3 linked regions of the Sus scrofa genome follow. The protein of the gene in region 1 interacts with the protein of each later gene in a biochemical or structural test. Links are inferred from orthologs where the notes say so. Each region holds a gene or a part of one and is shown in the gene's direction. Other genes may lie near its edges.

What was found. The genes of interacting proteins can lie anywhere in the genome.
Region 2: the proteins of SORT1 (region 1) and BDNF form a complex in vitro, tested with the Homo sapiens proteins (2 studies listed by BioGRID and IntAct, with this or other methods). The link is inferred for Sus scrofa from reciprocal best matches to the Homo sapiens genes SORT1 and BDNF.
Region 3: the proteins of SORT1 (region 1) and NGF form a complex in vitro, tested with the Homo sapiens proteins (3 studies listed by BioGRID and IntAct, with this or other methods). The link is inferred for Sus scrofa from reciprocal best matches to the Homo sapiens genes SORT1 and NGF.

What each region holds. Positions count from the first base shown.
Region 1 is NC_010446.5:110,719,824-110,723,995, forward strand, and holds the start of SORT1 (sortilin), read left to right. Parts: upstream 1-1,321; 5' UTR 1,322-1,390; coding exon 1,391-1,702; intron 1,703-4,172.
Region 2 is NC_010444.4:32,675,647-32,679,655, forward strand, and holds the end of BDNF (brain-derived neurotrophic factor precursor), read left to right. Parts: intron 1-2,338; coding exon of another isoform or gene 2,339-2,359; coding exon 2,360-3,118; 3' UTR 3,119-3,376; downstream 3,377-4,009. UniProt on the Homo sapiens protein: Important signaling molecule that activates signaling cascades downstream of NTRK2. During development, promotes the survival and differentiation of selected neuronal populations of the peripheral and central nervous systems.
Region 3 is NC_010446.5:105,305,003-105,308,476, forward strand, and holds the end of NGF (beta-nerve growth factor), read left to right. Parts: intron 1-1,946; 5' UTR 1,947-1,958; coding exon 1,959-2,684; 3' UTR 2,685-2,841; downstream 2,842-3,474. UniProt on the Homo sapiens protein: Nerve growth factor is important for the development and maintenance of the sympathetic and sensory nervous systems.

The sequences.
Region 1 (4,172 bases):
TCAGTAGCTGAGAACTTGGAAGACTATTCTAGCAATTTTTACCATCCTGCTCAGATGCCATTTAAAAATACCTTTAACTTGTCACCTCTCGCTATGGTTGTTCTGACAAAATGTAAATTTATAAATGTAAAAAATGTAAGTCGTTGCAAATTAACACAACCAGAAGGATTTTAATGTAAGCCTTGGGTTGGGTGCCCTGCACCATTCATTTTGCTCTACAATGAATATATTCTCATTTGGATTTACCTCCAGTTTATAATTAAAAGTAGTTGTTAGCTGCTTTATTTAGGTGTAACATTTTGTATACTTCATATCTTCCTACTTATTACCTTTTCTACTGAGCAACTTCTAGCATTCCAAAGAGTCAATAAGGAGGATATCTAAAACTGGTTTTACTTCCACTGTGTGTTCCAGAATAATGTGCCTCTCCTTCCTGCGATAAACGGAACAGTGTAGGGGTTTTGTTTTATTTACTGGAGACAGGATGCTAATTTAAGGGACATCATATACCGAACACCAAACTTGTGCAATGCACTCACTGCAGGGTTAAAACACTTTGGTAAAGACAGATACGCATCTATACAATGATCATCTCTCAATTAGGCACTGGGCAATTCTGTCCCCCTTTTACCTGTCCCTTATGTCTAAGCTACTTTCTAACTCCAGGAAAACCAATAGGCAGTTCCTCCTTTGGTTAACTCCCTGCAGAAGAGGAAGATGAGTGAGGAGAGAATTTTCTTCGGGCTCGCATGAGTCACGGATGTCCTAATGTCTATCTGCCTCCGCGAGATTTAGCCCACACAGCTCTCACTCACTGTAGACAAATGGGGCACTCCAACCCTGCAAGGGTTAAAAGCCAGACGCACCGGTTAATGACAGAGCCCCCATTTCCAGCTAAGCGAGCTCAGGGATTCCCTGAGGAGATTTTCCAGGCGCTGCAGCAACCCAAGGAATTTTAAGGGTGTCTCTGGGGAAGAAGGGACCAATTCAGCCCCAACTTGAGGGTGCCAGAGGGAGGAGCTAGGGGTCGGGGCCCCACGGAGTTGGGGGCTTCTCGAGAAGGAGGGAAGCTCCCCATGCTAACTCTGGAAGCCCGGCCTGGGAGACGCCGGGCGATGGGGGGATGACCTCAGCGGTCTCTGCCACGTTCCAGCCAATCAGCCCCGCATCTTGGCATCCGAATCCAGGACCCCCTAAGCAGGAGGCGCCGCGAGCCAATCAGCAGTGGACCGGGGAAGAAAGACAGGCGGCCAGCCTATGGGCGGAGAGGTCTGGCTTGGCGTATCCAGGGAGCGCCGGCTCCAGCAAGGGGGGGGAAGGTGGGCGGCGCCGGCGGGGGTGGGCGGGCGCGCCGGGCGGCAGGTGTCGACGGCGTCGGCATTCGGCGGCGATGGAGCGGCCCCGGGGAGCTGCGCAGGGCCTCTCGCGCTGGCCCCACGGCCTCGGCCTCCTTCTCCTCCTCCTCCTCCAGCTGCTGCCGCCGGCAAGCCTCGGCCAGGACCGGCTGGACGCGCCGCCGCCGCCCGCTGCGCCGCTGTCGCGCTGGTCCGGCCCCGTCGGGGTGAGCTGGGGGCTGCGCGCGGCCGCGCCTGGGGGCCCGGTTCCCCGCGGCGGCCGTTGGCGCCGCAGCGCGCTCGATGAGGACGAGGACTGCGGCGGGGTCCGGGACTTCGTCGCCAGGCTGGCCAACAACACACACCAGGTGAGCGGGCGCCGGGCCGGGGCACCGCCCGGACTGTGAGGTGCTGCCCCCGGGCCCCTGGCGGCCGCCCGCCCCGCCAGCGCAGCCCGGCCCTCTGTCTTGTCCGTGCGCCTCGCGTCCCCGCGGAGGAGACCCCGGCTGCTCGCCAGCCCCGCTGGCCCGCGCTCCCCCGGCCGCAGCCCCGAAACTGCGGCTGGCCGGCGGGCGGGCCGAGTTGGGCCCGGGGAGCTGCCCTCAGATGCCGCGGCCGAGCATGTTTCGTCACAGGGGAGGCAGGCTTTGACTTTCACGGGATTCTTTTTTTTTTTAATTTTTTTTTTACTTTTATTTTTCTGTTTAATTGTCAAAATCTCTCGAGCGTCGTTGTTTTCCGTCTGTATAAATAATTAGGATCCAGTAACGCTATACCCCACCAGGAAGCTGGAGGAGTAATTACCTCTTAAGTGCTTGGAGAAGTTGGGCTACGCAGAAGCAAAGGTGTGTCTTCGCCGGGTCAGTACTTTCTGGGTGGGTAGGCGGGTGTTCAGTAATCCCAGAGCAGTTATTAGATTACTGTGTGTTTTAACGGCTAAAGGAACAAGCTTGGCAGTGGGGTTGATAGTACGTATATGATCTCTCTTACGCCTTCGATTTGACCTTCTGTCATGGCATTGGACTGTATCCCATTGTAACAAGATTTCCAACACTTAACACGTTGCAGATATTCTGCTTTGAGTTAGGTCCTCGTCGAAAACTTTAAAAATTATGGCAGTTCTGTCTCTGGGGATAAGCAGCTCAACCTTTGCATAGTACTACTGGTTGACAAAGCCAGTTGTTGGCTATGTCCTGGCTCCTTGCACCTTGGGCGTCTTCCTCATTTTTTTTTTTTTTCTTCCTAGAACTAGCGATTTAATTGCTACCCACATTTGCGTAATATATTTACAATTGAATATATTTTCTCTCTTCTATCCATCCCTCCTTCCTTCCTCTTTCAAGGAGAGTTGCACATGGGGACAGAAGTGAGTGGTTAACTGCACTTGTCCTTTTAGAACCACATGCTGTAATAGCCAAATCCCCCCTTGAACTGTCTTTCTCCCTCTGCCTGGATTATACTTATTACCTGTGCAGAATTCTCTGGTCTGGGGACCCAGGGCAGTTGCAGTCAAAGCACAAGCTGTCAGGGATAACTCTTGCTAAATGCAGTCCAAGCAGCAGCTGCATAAAAGTGGCCAAGCTAGTGCTGACGTGTGGGACAGTTTGGGTGCACACAGAGTGGAATGAGAACTGAGAAGTCTTCCTGTTTGACAATAAAAAAAAACTTACAGACTTCCATCTCAGTGGGGAGTTGAGAAAGGCTTTATAACACTAGCGCCTCATTTATAATGAGACCATTTCCTTCCTTGAGCCAGCTGGACACAGCATTCCTACTCCACATTTCAGATTCTTCTCTTGCTAGCTGACCTACCTTTAGGACCTGCTGCTACTCCTGGATTTATTCCTTTAGTCAGAGTCTTCCCTGTTTGGTTTGAATTGATATGTCATTTGTAATGCATTAATTTCTAGAAGTTGAAAAAAAAATGGCTCAAGTAGGTTCTTAGAACAAATCCACTCAAGAGCAGATCTGAATGAAACCTCATTCTTTGAAGTCCATATGTTAAAAAAAAAAAAAGTCTTCCCTCTTTTTCTTTCATTTTATTTAGCTGCTGTTTCCAGTGATTTTTTTTAAACTTATTTTTTTAGCCTTCTTTCAGTGACCTCATTTAAAAGAATTGCTTTTGCATTTCTTAATCATCCATGGTTTCCTCAGAGATTCCATCTTTTTTGTAGCATGTATATGTGGAAAAAGTGAAGCCACTATCAACAGTCTTCATCTTAGAAATGGTTGAATAAAGCAGTTCTTAGTGGTGCACCCCCTTAACCAAGAATTTTTATGTTGTAGTCGGTTCTGCTTTTCCACTCTATGTTTTTAGAAGCCGTAATAAATCATCCTGAACTCTATTGAAGAGATCCAGTGTTGGGGGATCCTTTATAAACTGTGAAATAAAAATATCAGCATGACTTTGTATTAGACATAGTGTATACTTTTGTAAGCTGGGAAAACGCCTTTTAGAGTAGTTTTTCATAAAATGACAGGATTCAATTCCCCAAAAAATGAAAAGTTCTTGCTTCTCTTCTTCTCTGTTAGAACTCGCTGTGCATGTCAAGCCACCTTACTTCATGTAGTCAGTGTACCTGGGTGCCCTCCAGATGTCCAAGATGTGCTAGATACTCGGGGTGCCAAGGTAGAAAGACGAGATAATTCAACTGGAGAACGAAGAGCCTCAAAAGGCTTTAGCAAATCTAGACCTATTTCTGTGGCTTATGTGGCGTGTGAGAATATGTTGGTGTTTAACTAAACTTCTTCTTTTTTTCTTTTTTCTTTTTTTTTTTTTTTTTTGTCTTTTTGCCATTTCTTGGGCCGCTCCTGCGGCATATGGAGGTTCCCAGGCTG
Region 2 (4,009 bases), on another chromosome or scaffold:
TGATGTTATTTTATTGTCATTGGCTAGACAGTTACATCACAGTTGTCATTGCCTTAACCAATTTTCTTTGCTTAATTTTCTTTTTTACACGTGCACAAAAGTTACATCTGAAAAAATATGTTCAAATAAGTCTAAAAGAATTCTTTCCAGTTCTAAGTGATTAAAGAAAGCAATAGTTTAACAGGCTGCATTTTAAAAAATCTTAGTGGTGCATAAAATGGTGTGCTTTATAAGGATGGTATCATAGATTTCATGAAATGTGATATTAAAAGATAGCTGATCACAGCAACTCTCTTACCAGCATGATGTAAAATCCTAGAGTAAAATATTCTAAATTTGCTGCTTTTCACCGACTTGCATTTGAGGTGCCCCTTGGGTTGTTTTAATTTGGACGGGAAACACTAGGAGAAAGGGTTTTCTGTCAGTGGTGTAAATACTGCCTGCCAGGAAGAGAAACATCCTTGGAGGATCCATTTCTTTGATGGTGAAGAATCCAAACCCTTCGCAAAAGTTCAGGTGTTGGCAGAATGGATATCTGTGTTATATCTGTTTTATTCACACCAGCGTGCGCTTCCTCATCTCAAACCTTCCTCATCTCAGACTGTATGCTCCAAGCAGTTCTGCACATGCTTGCTGTTTGTGCCAAGTAAGCGTGAATCCAGAAGGAAATTGGCTGGTGTTTGGGGGCAGTAATCAAGTCCCGTAGTGGGAGAAAATGTGATCTCTGATAAAAGTGGAGAGGAAAACGGGGGTCTTGCTCCCAGAGTTTCAGCCCTTTCTGCAGTAAGACCTCCTGACTGCAGGTAGGTTCCCTTCCTGGCGGGTGACACTTCGTGGACAGGAAGACAGTCCCCTTTCCTGCTGGTTGGTACAGCATAACAGCTCTGGCACGCACGTGGTTTTTTGTTTAGTCCTTGCCTAGGACTGAGCGGTAGGAATAAAGTTAGTGTTGGGGCAGGGAATGCTCCCCTTTACTCCTCAGGGACGTGATGCCTCAGGTAAGTGCTTCTGAAGTCCTTCACCATCCAGCAGTAACCTTGTGTGGGTCTGTAGGTATGTTTTCATCTTTCCTGTTCATTCCTTCGAATTGGCTTCCCACAGCATGCTTGTAGACAAAGAGCCAAATTTAGTGTAGAGATTCCCTCTGGCAAACAGGAGAAGATTAATTTTGTGGTGTGCTGTTAAGGGACTTCCCAGAAAACTTCAAAAGCCCAGAAAGAAGCGCCAGCTGCCTGTACCAAAATGTGCACAGTGCCATTCAGCTTTTTCAAGGTACGATCAACGCAGAGCCCACACACACGTGCACACAGGTCACAGTCCAATAAAAAGAGAGGCAGAGCTCTCCTAGATGGGTTTGTGTTTGAGCCAGGGCCAAGAGGCCTAGAGTTAGTGGAGTTAACCACCAATGCCCATATGGCAGGCATTTGAAATTGCCTCCCCAGGTTTTTGATGCTGTCCTCTCCAATTCTTTCTTAAGCAAACACGTTGCTTTCATGGTATCAGCCCCAGGCATGGACACATCATTAAAACCAACGTGTGGAAAATGATTTCTGTTTGGAAATAAGCAAAACTTACTGTCACGATAACCACCCAGGTGTAGTAGAAAAAACACTGGAGCTGGAATTGGGAGCCCTGATCCTAACAGGAACTTTCTTCATGACAGGAGGCAAGTCCTCCATGGCCTTTGGTTTCCTTACTGACAAACCAGGATGCTTAATGAAATCATCTTTCTCCTTTGTTGCAATAGAGTGTCTCTCTGGGAGGAAAAAAGGTCAATGGGAAGGCACCATGCAACTCCCTGACTTCTGTTTTATTGTACTGTTCACACCTAGATAGCCTGTAGCTAGAAAGGCCCACTTCAGACCCCACAGGCCACCGCTGTTCCCTCCACACGTACCTGCCATTGGGCCATGTTGCCGACTTGAAGAATTACTATTACCCTTGATGCTTGGTAACATTTCTGATGTTGCGTTTCCTGTGACAGCCTGAGCAGAGAGCATTAAAAATTAAACTTACAAAGCTGCTCAAGTGGGCGGAAGGAGGCAAAGTTGAAGCCGCAGTTTTTTTTTCCACTTGCTCAGGAGCCATCTGATCTCGGGCTTATACGCTAGAGCTTGGGGCCAAGGCTGCACGTCTCTGGTTTATGTTAAAGCCCATCTAGCACACTACTGACATTAACCTGTGTCTGGTGCAGCTGGAGTTTCTCACCAATGCGTCAGAAACCTTGACCCTGCAGAATGGCCTGGAACTGCAGTCAGAGGGCTGCCTCGTCCCCTTGGGAAAGCAAGCAAGCAAGCCCTAAACAGTCTTGTGTCCTGTTTCTGCTTTCTCCCTACAGTTCCACCAGGTGAGAAGAGTGATGACCATCCTTTTCCTTACTATGGTTATTTCATACTTCGGTTGCATGAAGGCTGCCCCCATGAAAGAAGCCAACGTCCGAGGACAAGGCAGCTTGGCCTACCCAGGTGTGCGGACCCATGGGACTCTGGAGAGCGTGAATGGGCCCAAGGCAGGTTCAAGAGGCCTGACATCGTCGTCATCGTCGTCGTTGGCGGACACTTTTGAACACGTGATCGAGGAGCTGTTGGACGAGGACCAGAAAGTTCGGCCCAATGAGGAAAACAATAAGGACGCGGACATGTATACGTCCCGAGTCATGCTCAGCAGTCAAGTGCCTTTGGAGCCTCCTCTTCTCTTTCTGCTGGAGGAATACAAAAATTACCTGGATGCTGCAAACATGTCCATGAGGGTCCGGCGCCACTCGGACCCCGCCCGCCGCGGGGAGCTGAGCGTGTGCGACAGCATTAGCGAGTGGGTGACGGCGGCGGATAAAAAGACGGCAGTGGACATGTCGGGTGGCACGGTCACGGTCCTCGAAAAAGTCCCCGTCTCGAAAGGCCAACTGAAGCAGTACTTCTACGAGACCAAGTGCAATCCTATGGGGTACACAAAGGAGGGCTGCAGGGGCATAGACAAGAGGCACTGGAACTCCCAGTGCCGAACTACCCAGTCGTATGTGCGGGCCCTCACCATGGATAGCAAAAAGCGAATTGGCTGGCGGTTCATAAGGATAGACACTTCCTGTGTATGTACTTTGACCATTAAGAGGGGAAGATAGTGGCTTTATGTTGTATAGATTATATTGAGACAAAAATTATCTATTTGTATATATACATAACAGGGTAAATTATTCAGTTAAGAAAAAAAATAATTTTATGAACTGCATGTATAAATGAAGTTTATACAGTACAGTGGTTCTACAATCTATTTATTGGACATTTCCATGACCAGAGGGAAACAGTCATTTTTTGCGCACAACTTTAAAAAAAAAGTCTGCATTACATTCCTCGATAATGTTGTGGTTTGTTGCCGTTGCCAAGAATTGAAAAACGTTAAAGAAAAAAAAAGTTTAAAAAATACTACTAATAAATTGCATGCTGCTTTAATTGTGAATTGATAACAAACTGTCCTCTTACAGAAAACAGACATAAAAAAAAAGCGAAAGAAAAAAAAAAAAAGCCTAACAAAAATTTGAACCAAAACATTCCGTTTACATTTTAGACAGTAAGTATCTTTGTTCTTGTTGGTACTCTGTTTTACTGCTTTTAACTTCTGATAGCGTTGGAATTAAAACAATGTCAAGGTGCTGTTGTCATCGCTTTACTGGCTTAGGGGATGGGGGATGGGAGGGGTTTATTTTTGTTTGTTTTGTGTTTCTTTTTTTGTTTGTTTGTTTTGTTTTGTTTTGTTTTGTTCTTTAGTTCCACAGGGTGTAGGGATGGGGAAAGAATTCCGTCCATCTGTATTCTGGTTGATAAAAGATTCATTTGTATGTTGCAGAGATGTTGGCAGTATCAATCAGATGGCTGGAAAGTGAATAAAAACTAAGGCAAACGATTGAAGTGCACCTCCTAGGCGCCTGCTCACCCTCTGGGCCTTGGTTGGGGGAAGCTTCTTTGGTTGCAAAGATCTGCATTTACTCCGAGCACGTTCTTTCCCCCACCCCTTC
Region 3 (3,474 bases), about 5.4 Mb from region 1:
AAATAGGTAAATTCAAAAGGCACCGCTTCTGAAGTGCTCTCAGGGACAGAGACGCATTAAATGACTATTCATAGCACGAGGAGAAGTAACAGGGTTGTGCACAAAGCGTCAGGGAAGACAAAGGGTGGAGTGACTAGCTGGGCAGGTGGATGAGACAGGCTCTGACCTCTGGGACCTTGTGGCAAGTGGGGAGACAAGCATGATTCGTTAGGCTTGAAAAGAAGCCTGACAGACATAAAACTATGTGCTCTGAAGAGACATGGCTGGAGTGCACTCCAGGAGTGAATGAGTGGCAATAACTGAAAAAAGCAAAGTCCTGACCACAGGACATTGGAATGAAATAGGTATGTGAGCACCTATTCAATCCTAACAACAACCCTGTGAAAGAGTGTTTATTGCCTGCTTTTTCCATGGGGAAATCAGTGCTCAGGAAGATGAAGTGACTTTCCTCTGCTAACACGTTGAGGGGTTAGGTATCCAAAGAAGGTTTCTTAACCCCAGATCCAGTGCAGGGTTCTTTTCATTACACTGATTTAGTGGAGAGAACACACACACACACACACACACACACACACACACACACACTTCTAAAGTGTGGCTGGGGTGATCTGAGAAGGTCTCAAGGAGACAGTGGTACCCATGCCAGCCCAGAAGAGTAGGCAGGGAGCAGAATGATCTGTGGGGAGAGAAATGGGGAGGGATCAAATCAGAAGTTTAACACCCTCTCTAGGGGACACCTCTAACCCTACCAGGAAGATCGGGGAAACTTCCTAGAGGGGGTGACATGTGATAGATGTGCACAGGTGTACACAGGAGCTCACCGGAAGTGAGCTCAAGAACAGAGCTAACTTCACAGCTAGTTGACCTGGAGGTGGACACTAGTGGGCAAGTACAGTGCAGTGCAGAGCCCTGTCTGGCACATGCTCAAGAGGGGCTTGTGCTGCCTTGTGGGGACAGATGATTTATGCCATTTGACCCATTCTCATCTAAGAAGATTAAATAATTTTTTTAAAAGACACACTTAAAAATGAAAGAGAAAGAGGGGTAAGGAAGGAAGGATGGAAGGGTGACTGGCTTAGTGAGGGGTCAAGTTTGGATTCTATTTTTGGTCCAAGTTTTGCGACTATAGGCCCTTAGTTAATTTTCTGTGGCTCACTTTTCTTATTTGCGATTGAGAGATGATAAACCCTAACCTAACTCCCAGACTAACAAGAAACTAGAAGTGAGCGTGTTTGAAAACATCACCCCCGCAAAGAGGAACCATTATCAGTACTGCATCTATATGTGCACACGAGTGGCTGAATAGATGGACTGGCTAGAGGTGATCCCAGAGCCGTACACTGTTTTGGCCAAACAGTGCTTTGTGGATTTTCAGTCACCAGATCTCAGAGCTGGCCCAGTGCTGCTGTCTGAAGAGGGTGTTTTCAGTGCTGAGGCTTCAAGACAAGTCCCCAGCAGCCTGCCCTCTCCCTTCCCAAGCTGTTGGGCAGGACACTGCTGGGAGGTATCAAACTGCCCTCCAGCCAGCCCGGTGCACACTTGTGCACACTTATCACCTGACCACGGCTGCCTTGCTGGCAGGTAGAGAACACAAGGGGTTCTGTAAACAGCACTGCTGAACTCATACCACACTATGGGGCAGAATTTCAGGGGCTCTGTCCCTTCCCGGAAAGGCCCACCCCCTATATGGAGTCTGAGCCCGGACAAACAGGTTGTCTGAGCCAGCCCTATTTAAGCCTGGTGTCCCAGTGCAACTGTTGTAGCAGTACCTTTCACTCTCAGAAGTGTCCTGGTTTGAATGGTCAATTCCCGGTCCCCTTGCCCTTCACCACCAGGAGAAGCCTCCTCGTCATCCTCTTGGGAGGGCAACTCCGAGGAACCCAGAAACTACCTCTGCCCAACCTGCAGCGCTCCATGGAATAACCCTCATTTCTGTGTCATTCCAGGTGCATAGCGTAATGTCCATGTTGTTCTACACTCTGATCACAGCTCTTCTGATCGGCGTACAGGCAGAACCGCACACCGAGAGCAATGTCCCAGCAGGACACGCCATCCCCCAAGCCCACTGGACTAAACTTCAGCATTCCCTTGACACAGCCCTCCGCAGAGCCCACAGTGCCCCGGCTGGGGCGATAGCCGCCAGGGTGGCAGGGCAGACCCGCAACATCACTGTGGACCCCAAACTTTTTAAAAAGCGGCGACTGCGTTCACCCCGAGTGCTGTTTAGCACCCAGCCCCCGCCTGTGGCCGCAGACACTCAGGATCCGGACTTGGAGGCCAGCGGCGCCGCCTCCTTCAACAGGACTCACAGGAGCAAGCGGTCGTCATCCCACCCCGTTTTCCACCGGGGGGAGTTCTCGGTGTGCGACAGCGTCAGCGTGTGGGTGGGGGACAAGACCACTGCCACGGACATCAAGGGCAAGGAGGTGATGGTGTTGGGAGAGGTGAATATCAACAACAGCGTGTTTAAACAGTACTTTTTTGAGACCAAGTGCCGGGACCCCAATCCCGTGGACAGCGGGTGCCGGGGCATCGACTCAAAGCACTGGAACTCGTATTGTACCACAACCCACACCTTTGTCAAGGCGCTGACCATGGACGGCAAGCAGGCTGCCTGGCGGTTTATCCGAATCGACACGGCCTGCGTGTGCGTGCTCAGCAGGAAGGCGGGGAGAAGAGCCTGACCTGCAAGCCAGCCCCCACCTCCCCCAGCTCCCCACCCACACTCTCCTGCGCCCCTCCCTACCTCAGCCTGTAAATTATTTTAAATTATAAGGACTGCATGGTAATTTATAGTTTATACAGTTTTAAAAATCATTATTTATTAAATTTTTGGAAGCAGCCTGTGTGCCAGCCCTCCCTCATTTTGCCCAGCATGACCATCTGCCAGTCTTGGGACGGAAGCTGCAGGGAGACGGGTCCACAGCAGGCCCGGCTCCCTCTCAGGCCCTCCTGGAGCCCTCACCCTCCCGGCGCCCGCAGCCAGCCCTGCCACTTCAGGGAAGGCTAACCAGGCTCCGATATTAGCCTAAGCCCGGCGTGATTAGGAAGGGAAGGGAAGTCTGTGGGACTGCAACTTTGCTCCGCATTCCAGAGCCAAAGCTACCTAATCCTTGGATTACCTGCCCCACAGCCTAGATTCTTCAGCCTTGATTGCCTCACTGGGGAAGTTTGTGGAGCTTCATCAGAAGGCAGATCCCTGCTGGGCACAGGGCTGCCCCCAACCTCAGAGAAGCCCAGGCTGGGTCCTATCTATCCGGCTCACTAGATAGACAGGAGGAGACTCGCACTGAAGACCTGTGAGGCTGGCTCGCTTTTTAGGGGGAGGTCTGCTTTTGGCTGAAAAGCGCTCTGCAAGAGTTGTAACAAAATCATCTCATGGGGCCTGTCACGGTAGATCTGATTTCATGTAAAGACTGCCTTAGCTCTAATGGCTGGCCTCGATTTATCCCCTGGCGGCTTCCTGCAGAAGGA